3 linked regions of the Macaca mulatta genome follow. The main gene of each other region encodes a partner of the protein of the gene in region 3 in a complex. Links are inferred from orthologs where the notes say so. Each region holds a gene or a part of one and is shown on either strand. Other genes may lie near its edges. The genes, in order: phosphatidylinositol N-acetylglucosaminyltransferase subunit P-like, PIGY and PIGC.

Region 1 (3,010 bases), on a different chromosome or scaffold from region 3:
AAGATCTTAAAGACGGTGTGTCCAGAGTTTGTTCCTTCAGATGTTCAGATGTGTCCAGAGTTTCTTCCTTCTGGTGGGTTCCCAGTCTCACTGACTTTAGGAGTGAAGCCGCAGACCTTCACAGTAAGTGTCACAGCTCATAAAGGTGGCGCATCTGGAGTTGTTTCTTTCTTCCCGTGGGTTCCTGGTCTGGCTGACTTCAGGAATGAAGCCGCAGAGCACAGCCTCATGGTGAGTGTTACAGCTCATAAAGGCAGTGCAGACCCAAACAGTGAGCAGCAGCAAGATTTATTGTGAAGGGCGAAAGAACTAAGCTTCCACAGTGTGGGAATGGGACCCCAGCGGGTTGCCACTTCTGCCTTCGGTGGCCAGCTTTTACTCCCTTATTTGGCCCCGTCCACATCCTGCTGATTGGTCCATTTTACAGAGTGCTGATTGGTCTGTTTTTACAGAGTGCTGATTGGTGCATTTTCAAACCTTTAGCTAGACACAGAGTGCTGATTGGTGTGTTTACAATCCTTTAGCTAGACAGAAAATTCTCCAAGTCCCCCCCGGACCCAGAAGCCCAGCCAGCTTCACCTCTCATTAGCATGGCCACATACATTTCAGTTTTTGGTGTAAAGGTCTTTGGCTGCAAGAAATAACATTTGGTTTACTTCACTAGCAGAAATAACTCTTAATGCTGGAATGGCCACCTCTTGGTATTTCTTCTGCTGTTGATTTTTAGCATAGTTGTCTGTGATTGTATGAATGGAGTTGAGTGAAGGGGTACTCATCATGTTAATCCCAAACAAGAGCACATAGCCAATTACTACAGTAATAAGGAGGTAGAGAGATAATGCAACTGTCCAATGTTTTTGAGGCCAATAGGTTAAACCTAAGGAGTTTAGCCAAGATTCAGGAATAAAAGCCCACACAAGGTAAAGTATGAAGCCAAATTGGGAGCTTAAGAGAATCACAAAGTCATAAATCGCTCTTCCTGGCAGCAGTGAATTTTCCACCATTTTTCCTGGGGCTTTAGACAGTCTCAGCGCTGAGTTCCCTGCAAAAGCGCCGACCAGGAAGCCCCAGTGCGGGAGTGGGGTGGGGGAGGGGTGGGTGAGGGGAAGAAGAAAAATTGAGGGAAAGGCCTAGGCGCGAAGGCTCCTCCCACTCAGGCACAGGCGCACGATGACCCTCCCCCTGGGTGGGAGCCAGCCAGCGGCTCTTCCCTAGGTTTCTGATGGAGAAGCTGTTTCTCCTCATCCCTTAAAGTTTCGAGTGGATGACCTAGATAAATGAGCAATGAAACTATGACGACTAAGTTCAAAGGAGTGACATTTAGCATTGTGATCTTCTAAAATCTGTACAAGTTAGGCGATGCATTTAGTAAGTGATTATAAATATTTAATGTATACATATATAGCAAGTGACAAGCGTTTTATCATAAGCATTAGCATTCTTAGGGAGAGGTGGCAGTCGAGTGGACTGTGATGTTTGGCACAGGCACCCCTCCTCCCCCACTGAGGAATGAAGGATTTATTCCACCAGCTACTGGGAGAAGTGTTGGCAGATGATTCTTGGCTGTAAGCCCTCTTTGGGAATTTCCTTGGCTGCTGCCTTTTCAGGGCAGTCTGCATAAATGATTGATCAGCTTGGGAGCTTAGAGGCCTGGTCCCCTTACCTCTACTCAGGACAACTTGGAAGACCTATTCCAGTTTCAGAGGTCTCCATGAGGTCAGTGGAAGTCTTTGTTCTGACATTGCACTTCAATTTCTCCCTCTGCTCCATCCTGCTTCCTTCTCTGCTCTTCTTCTGCTGTTGATCCCAAGAGTGCTCCCTGAGTAACTTCCTGCATGTTAATCTCAATCTCAGAGTCTGCTTCCCAGAGAATCCAACCCACAGTCCTCCCATCCTCCTTGTTTCCAGGCCCCTTGGAATGTGACTTTGCAGCTTCTCCAATCAAGAGATGGAGTTTATTTTTTGACATCTTGAATCTAAGCTGGCCTGTGACTTGCTCTGGTCAATAGAATGAGGCAGAGGTGACATCGTGCCAGTTCTGAGCCTGAACCTCCAGAAGCCTTGCATGCTGCTTCTGTCGCTCTTGGAGTCCTGCTGCTACTGTGAGAACAGGCCCTGGCTAGCCTGCAGGAGCAGGAGAGACGAGTGGTCAAGTCACTGCTGTTGTCCCAACTGACAGTCAACCAATCCCTGAAGCAGAGTCACCTGGCTAACCACAGTGCCTGAATGAACCTAGCCAAGACCAGAAATAATACCTAGCTGAGCCCAGCCGAAACTGCTGACCCAGAGATTCATGAGCTAATAAGTAGTATTGTTTTAAGACAGTTAAGTTTTGGGGTGGGCTTGCTACGTTGCAATCCTTAACTGACACAGGAAGGAACTGTGTTTGAGGAACCACAAACTGGAGGCAGGAGCACCAGGCCCCTAGTAACAGAAGATGTGATTAAGAGCTTTCCATGAGAAAATGGGAGGAATTTATTTTTTGCCCCTGCGAAGAAGGTAGAGAGAACAGAATGGAGGTAGGAGCATTAAAAGTAGGTAAGGAGGAGAAGGTTGCCAGCCAGAAGGTAAACGACTGGGAATAATACGAGTTGAAGCAGCAGGTGGAATTGCTTGGTGGGTCTATGTCCATGTAGTGAGGGCGGCAGAGAGACTTGTTTGTATTTCTTAGATATAATCTCTTCTCTGTTTATTTGCATCTCATTTCAATCTCCTTACAAAAACAGGAACCAGGCCAGGCACGGTGGCTCACACCTGTAATCCCAGCACTTTGGGAGGCTGAGGAGAGCAGATTGCCTGAGCTCAGGAGCTCAAGACCAACCCGGGCAACATGGTGAAACCTCGTTTCTACTAAAAATACAAAAAATTAGCGGGGTCATGGTGGCACATGCCTGTAATCCCAGCTACTTGGGAGGTTGAGGCAATAAAGTGAGACTCTTGTCTCAAAAACAAACAAACAAACAAAACCCACACATTATTGCATAAAAAAGCAACTTGCAGAAAATGGAAT
Region 2 (3,672 bases), on a different chromosome or scaffold from region 3:
CTACTAAACTGTGGACAGGAAACCAAGCTGTCAGGCCCCAGAGCCCAAGTTCCCATCTACTACACTGTAAGAAAGAGATCTAACATGCATCACTTCCTCGGAGAGTCGGAAGCAAACCTGGGATACAAATTCACTGAATGGATCACCCATTTGACTAACAGACATCTGCCTGTTACACAGTTATTTAGGCCCTTTGCGGCCTCCAAGCTCATTGATAGAAGTAAATTAGTTGTGCTTTATTACGCAAATACTTCACAATGACTGGGTCTCAGGCAGGAAGAATTTATATATTTTGGAGGGTCAGAGGCCTAGACCATTCCTTCCAGGTTCTCACTTTTTTAAATGAGACAGAAAGAAGTCAAACAAGATTACAGAAACTAATGGTATAGTAAAGACGTACATGAAACAAATGAACGCTTTCAATACATCCATGGCAATACATTCAATACAATACATGACAGTGTGTTTGAAACTTCACTTGGAGGTAACCACGTAGGTCCAAGCCTAACTCCCTACAACTCTGAGATCTGGCCACTGGCTTCCTAGCATCTCTGCCACAGGCCCCGGTGAAAGCCCAGACACCTCGACTTAAACACTGATTTAGTTTGTAGTCTGGTAAGGCGGCGGGGCACCCACTAGAGGCCTCAGCCCTGGGGCTGTCCTACGGCCTGCAGATGACGTCCGTGGGAAAAGCAGTCGGAGCAGGAGCACCCTCGGAACCAAAGCGCCCGCCCCGCCTACTCACCGGCAGCGTTTCCCAGAGCACCAGGGGGCGGGGCCTGGTCGGCTGGCTTGTACTACCGCGGAGCGAGGAGCTCGGCCCCGGCTGGCGGAGGCGCAGTGAGGCCTGGTCTCCGGCTGCCAGACCATGCTGAGCGGAGCACGCGGCAGGCTCGCCTCAGCGCTGCGGGGAACTAGCGCAGCGCGGTCCGCGGTCGCCTGTAGGTGTCTGCACGCGTCGGGCTCGCGGCCTTTGGCCGACCGGAGCAACGAGACGGAGGAGCCGCCCCGCGCCTTGGATCCGGCGCTGCTGGAGTTCCTGGTGTGCCCGCTCTCCAAGAAGCCGCTCAGGTGACTCGCTGGTCTTGGCCCTTCCTTCGCAGCCTCCCGGTGGGCGGAAAGGGAGTGGTGGACCGCGGCCTGTCTCAGCCACTGGGGACTTGTAGGTCGGTGAATACTCTCCGCTGCCATATTCTGGACTCTGTCCCCGCCGGTGCATGCACCTCCCCCTGCGGCGGGCAGAACGGGGGAGACCGGAGGCCAGGGGAGCCGCGTCCCACATCTCCCAGAGCACATAGCCAGCCTGCCGGAATGGCTCGAAGCGTTTTAGGCTTCGCGACCGGCTGCTCTTTGCAATCACCCGGGGACCGTTTTAAAAATGCCGATTCCCCTGCAGCCCCCAAGACGGGCAGACTTGGAATGCTCGGGGGTTGGGACCTGAACATTTGTATTTTCTTTTTTTCCTTTTAAGAGACAGGGTGCCCCCCTACGTTGCCCAGACTGGCCTAGAACTCCCACCTCAGCCTCCTCAGGAGTCGGGAGACAGGCGCCGCCCCCACGCCCAGCTTATTTGTGTTCTTAAATGGTCCCTAAATGATTTCTAACGTACCAGCAGGTTCTTGAATTACTGCGATTCAGGACAAGTCCAAAGCCATCCGGTTTTTAAGCCAAGATAATGAAAAGTATTTTACCCTCCAGATTCTTGTGAAAGTGTCTTGTACAACTGGTGCCTGACAATCTTAAGCAATTCAGCTGTGTATGCTGCCTGGTGGCTCTTAGTTGTGGCCTAGCAGATTTCTTAGAAGCCTCTTTAACCTAGTTTTTGGGAAGACAGCTCTACAGTTTCCAAGCTCCCAAAAATGGAATATTGACAACACTAACGCTAGTATTACAAATCGCATAAACGAAACACCAAAACGTTGTCAGTGGTTATCTTTGAGTGGTAGATTACTAGCAATTTTTCATATTTCTTTTTTCCCATAATAAACATATTCAGTTTTCTCAAACCTTGAAATTATTTGATTTGCGTTTATAACTAGCTCACGGCAGACTTACTGCTTTCCAAAGTTTCCTCATTTCTGCCCTCTCACCTTTTCCAGTGATTTCCTTCTAATGGATTAGTTAAGTTTTTCTACTTAGCATTTATTCTAAAACGAAGAAGTTGATTTTTCTCTAGTGTTTATTCCAGTAGTAAATTAACAGAGATGATTTGGGGGTTGACCAAAGTAATGAAGGAATATTTGGATAAGAGAGGGGGATCTTTTCTGACTAGTATGAAAAAAAAATTAAGGAATAACTTGTGAATAAGGTGAAAAAGAGAATATGAGAGAAACTGACTAAAATGGGAATAATTATAGATTCTAAGAGAATTTTTCTAAGATAAAAGGTTGAATTGGCTATCGTTGCTTTTAATTAAAGAAGACTATTCTGGGATTAACTCCATACCAAGAATTGGATAAATGGTGGTATTTGTTGAAAATCAGGCTCTTCAATTATTTTATTTTTCCACAACTCATTTTGTTCTTTTTTTTTTCCACCCCAGATATGAAGCATCAACAAATGAATTGATTAATGAAGAGTTGGGAATAGCTTATCCAATCATTGATGGGATTCCTAATATGATACCACAGGCAGCTAGGATGACGCATCAAAGTAAGAAGCAGGAAGAAGTGGAGCAGCGCTAGTTCATAATTAAAAAAACATAAAACGCAACAGCCAACTTTTCTTAGTACCATATACCTTTTAAAACACAGTGGCAGGTAATAAGTGGAAGAGAAGAATGTTTCTGTCTCTTCCTACATTGACTGTTCTTATTCCACTGGTTTCTTTAACAGGACTGTTCTACTCAGCCTCTGTGGAAGAAAACTTCCCACAGGGCTGCACTAGCACAGCCAGCCTTTGCTTTTACAGCCTGCTCTTGCCTATTACCATACCAGTGTATGTATTCTTCCACCTTTGGACTTGGATGGGTATTAAACTCTTCAGGCATAATTGATGCAACTAGAGTCAATATGCTGTATACATTAATGGTAGTTCTTGGGCATCTATCTCTGAAAGCTCAAATGGATGGAATTGAGTTTGTGGGAAAGAGGCTTTGCTTTGCGCATATCAGGCTTAGGACTGTGGGAAGCTTAAGTTGCAGGTGCTTCTTTTATTGTGCTCTTGTTCTGCCCTTGTTTTTTGAAGGCTCTGACTTATAACTGCTGTATCAGAAGAAACATTTTGACAGTGTCTTGTTGGAGATAAACATCCCTAATTGACATGTGATGACTATTTCTTATTCCATTCATCTAAAAGTCATTGAAATTTTGTTTTGCTTGTTTGTTTAGCTTCAAGGTCTTTGGTAAAGTCACATGTTAGGGATGACTGAAATAATTCCAAAGGAGTGATGTTGGAATAGTCCCTGTAAGGGAGAGAAATGCATTTGAACGAATGTGATACAAAACCATATAATGAAATAGAAATTTCATGTACTTACAAAAATTGAGTTTGTAAAATTACCTTCATTTCTTTGACATTAAATGCTTATATTAGCAATAAAGATGTTGACACTTTCCCATAAAAAATAAACCAGTTTGTAATCATTTGTTTTGTTTATTTGTTTGGTCACAGAAGTGTTATTGATACTAAGGGAAGTTGTAAAACTGCACTAAATATAGCTGTGTTTAGAGA
Region 3 (3,266 bases):
CTAAAGGCCTTCAACACATTGCCCTAAAACCATCTTTTGCCTACTTAAGTCTCCCTATCCTCCAAGACTAAGCTCAAATGTCACTGCCTCTCATAAGTATTTCCTAATTATTCCAGCTGAAATTTATCTCCAGCTTCTGAATTCCCCCTAGCATTCTGCTTATTATGACACATCACACTCTGCTTTGTAATTAGTTGTGTATATGCTTCCGTAACAACAAGGTAGAAACTGAGTCAAGGTTAGGTAACCAATTCTGTGATATTGGGCAACAAAACTGAACACAGCACCTTGTGTTCTAGGATTTGAGCCCTAGATAAATAAAACAGCATTAGCACATTGAAAAGGGTAGAGAGAAGTGACTTTACACACACACACACACACACACGCACACACTCTTCACTCTTCATGCCCCTCTGCCTACTGTTTATGTAAAAATCATGAGACAACTTGATGAATGTGTTATTTTTTTAATAGAAACCACATCACTTCATATGTTACAGCATGTAATTCAAGAGGGTCCCAGAAAGTATTTTCATCCACAAAATAACGGAAAGGATAAGAACCCGCACCACCCAAGCCTTTGGTTCATCTTTTTTGTTTTGATCTCTGTTCTCTTACCACAATGACATGCTGCTTCCAGAATGGAACTCTGTCTTTAAGTTCTATACTAGTTAGGAGGCTAGTCTATCAGCTTGCCTTAATAACGTAATGGATGTCCTAATTTAACTGAGGAACCTGGACAAGTCTTCCTTGATTTCAGCTTCATCCCAAGGCCCATGAATGTTTTCTTTAAAAAGCTGCAAGCGAATGAGGTAGAATGGACAGAGACATGAGATAGACATCAGCAGAAGGGCAAAGAGTATGGCTCCCACAGCACTGATGGACAGTAGGCCTCCTAAGGCTGAAAATGCAAAGAGCAGTGTGACCCCCACATAGCTCCGGGGAGTACATGCCTTTAGTTTCTTCTGTAACATGGGCCATAGGGCAAAAATCTGAATGGCAAACGTCACCATGATGAAGGCATGCAGGGACCGGGGAAGACGTGAAGCCAAGCATACAGAAGCAAAGATGGCCATGTTCAAGGATAGCGTGCTGGACACAATGGCAGCATTGGCACCATAGTCAAAAAAGATGAGGTGGCCTAACAGCATGAAGACTGACATGGCATAGATGGTGTCAGTGCTGACAGACTCTGTAAGGGTTTTCAGCACTGGTGAAAACCCATAAGTGAAAGTAATGAAGACTAGGGCACTCTTCAGGTCAGCCCATCGGGTCTGCCCACTCTTCTTCCGCCCTTCACCTCCATCAATGAGATCAAACAAAACATACCCAATCAGTGAAGAAGCCAGGCCAGTCCCAAAAAGCCAATGGGGGGCCAGAAGACCCTCATCCATATACCACCAGATAACCACAAAAACACAAACACTGCACAGCTGCTGGATCACTACACTGGACTCAAATACCACAGCCCAATATTGGTATTTCCGAGCATGGATGTTTTTCCGGAGCTCTTCCAGGAATCGCCGGTCCACATAGTTATCAGGAAAGGGCTGTCGCTCATACAAGACCTTCTGCCACTTGACCTCCTTGGTGCTAGTTACAGGTTGGGCACACATTATCCTTTCATTCAAACTCAGGCCAGTTTAATCATCGCCCTCACAGAAGTCCAGGTGGTTCTTGTTCTTTATGAAGTTTTGAAATGAGACCTCCCTGGAAATTCCATGCTGTGGTTGATGTTCTATCAACCTTTCCTTGTTTTCAAAGGCAGCAACCCAGGCTAGGCCTACAACAGATGAATTTGTCTCTGAGGCAGGACAACACAGCCAAGTTCCTAGAAAAAGAGAGACTGTGAACCTACAAAAGTTGTGAAAGGTCAAGAGTAGTACTGAGTTAAAGTCAAATCAACTCAGTTTACTAAAAGTCTGAGCAAAATGTATGTGGTAGTCACCTTATTAATTTGGGACATTAAAACTGCATTTCAGACTTGAAAATTATAATTCCTTGAATAATAAAAGACATCTGTTAGCTATCATTTATTGAGTGCCTACTATGTGCTAAATGCCTTATGTATCTTCTTTCACTTAATCCTCACAACCTTGCAAGTTAGTATTAGTCCTGCTTTGGTAAAAAAGCTGAGATTCAAGATGCTTAAGTAACTTTGCCCTAAAGTAACAGAGCAGAGCCAGGATTCAAACCAAAGTCTTATCCCAAAGCCTGTGTCTGACATTGTATCTCCCTCTAAACCAGTTCTTAACTCAATGGTTCACATACCCCTTCGGTGTATCACATTGCATGTTTATATCCGGATTTGTGTGAATTTATACGGATAATATCCATAGCTTTTATTGGTTCTCAAAGGCATGTTATATTTTTTAAATTACCAATCCAAAGACAATAGTAAGCTGCACCATACAGAAAGGTATGAGCTCTACAGTTTGTTTAGCCAAAATCAAAGACTCAAAGAAACTAGACTCTTCTTCCATTAGCTGAGCTTAGCATCCTTTAAAGAGCTATCAGTCTACTCAAAACAAGGAAACTCTTGTGAGGATCCAGAAAGGTAATCATCCCTTTTTCACAATGAGAAAACTAAGAGTCAGAAACACCACAGGCATCCGGCAAATTTGAGGAAAAAAAATTTCATATTGCCCGACTTTATTTCTTCCATGAAGACCACGACAAGTGTTGCTTGGCAGGCCAGACACCGTTACCCCGCTCTCTGCAGCGGGGATCCCAGCCCGGGAATCTTAAGGCCGCCGCCGAGGCTGGAGGGTTCGCGACGCCCAAAAGGGCAGCGCCCGCCCGCAGAGTGGGGCTGGGAGGGGACAGGGTAGGGTAGGGTAGGGTAGGGTGACCCCAGGGGTGCGCCTTCACTCTCCGGGCCTCCCACTCCAGCCGCCACCCCTCACTCAGCCTTGAGCCTGCGAGAGACAGCAGAGGAGAAGGAGCCCCGGAAACACTGACAGTTACACGGAACCCACCTGCCCGAGAGTTCCTAGGGATGCGCAGCTGGGGGACGGCGGCACCCAGCCTTTTTCCCGCTCCGGGGCGCAGGGGCTGCGACTGTGGCGGAGCACTTCCGGGTCTGCCGCAATCTCCTCAGCGAGAGCACCCTTCCCCAGCCGGAACCATCGCGACGTGGCTGCTGCCCCCTCCTGGCTGCTCAGAGGACCTCCGGACTCCTCTCCTGCAGACTGGCCCAAACCCGAATGCTCTGAGCCTAGGAAGGCAAATCTCCAGCAATCCCCTATTGAAAGATGGGATGTGCC

The links.
Region 1: PIGC (region 3) and phosphatidylinositol N-acetylglucosaminyltransferase subunit P-like share a complex: the UniProt entries of both Homo sapiens proteins name them as parts of the glycosylphosphatidylinositol-N-acetylglucosaminyltransferase (GPI-GnT) complex. The link is inferred for Macaca mulatta from reciprocal best matches to the Homo sapiens genes PIGC and PIGP.
Region 2: PIGC (region 3) and PIGY share a complex: the UniProt entries of both Homo sapiens proteins name them as parts of the glycosylphosphatidylinositol-N-acetylglucosaminyltransferase (GPI-GnT) complex. The link is inferred for Macaca mulatta from reciprocal best matches to the Homo sapiens genes PIGC and PIGY.

What each region holds. Positions count from the first base shown.
Region 1 is NC_133415.1:86,726,346-86,729,355, reverse strand, and holds the end of phosphatidylinositol N-acetylglucosaminyltransferase subunit P-like, read right to left. Parts: intron 1,291-3,010; coding exon 1,270-1,290; intron 1,034-1,269; coding exon 606-1,033; downstream 1-605. UniProt on the Homo sapiens protein: Part of the glycosylphosphatidylinositol-N-acetylglucosaminyltransferase (GPI-GnT) complex that catalyzes the transfer of N-acetylglucosamine from UDP-N-acetylglucosamine to phosphatidylinositol and participates in the first step of GPI biosynthesis.
Region 2 is NC_133410.1:97,843,156-97,846,827, reverse strand, and holds PIGY (phosphatidylinositol N-acetylglucosaminyltransferase subunit Y), read left to right. Parts: upstream 1-779; 5' UTR 780-868; coding exon of another isoform or gene 869-1,071; intron 1,072-2,542; coding exon of another isoform or gene 2,543-2,684; 5' UTR 2,685-2,779; coding exon 2,780-2,995; 3' UTR 2,996-3,574; downstream 3,575-3,672. UniProt on the Homo sapiens protein: Part of the glycosylphosphatidylinositol-N-acetylglucosaminyltransferase (GPI-GnT) complex that catalyzes the transfer of N-acetylglucosamine from UDP-N-acetylglucosamine to phosphatidylinositol and participates in the first step of GPI biosynthesis.
Region 3 is NC_133406.1:29,931,484-29,934,749, forward strand, and holds PIGC (phosphatidylinositol N-acetylglucosaminyltransferase subunit C), read right to left. Parts: upstream 1,833-3,266; 5' UTR 1,617-1,832; coding exon 723-1,616; 3' UTR 530-722; downstream 1-529. UniProt on the Homo sapiens protein: Part of the glycosylphosphatidylinositol-N-acetylglucosaminyltransferase (GPI-GnT) complex that catalyzes the transfer of N-acetylglucosamine from UDP-N-acetylglucosamine to phosphatidylinositol and participates in the first step of GPI biosynthesis.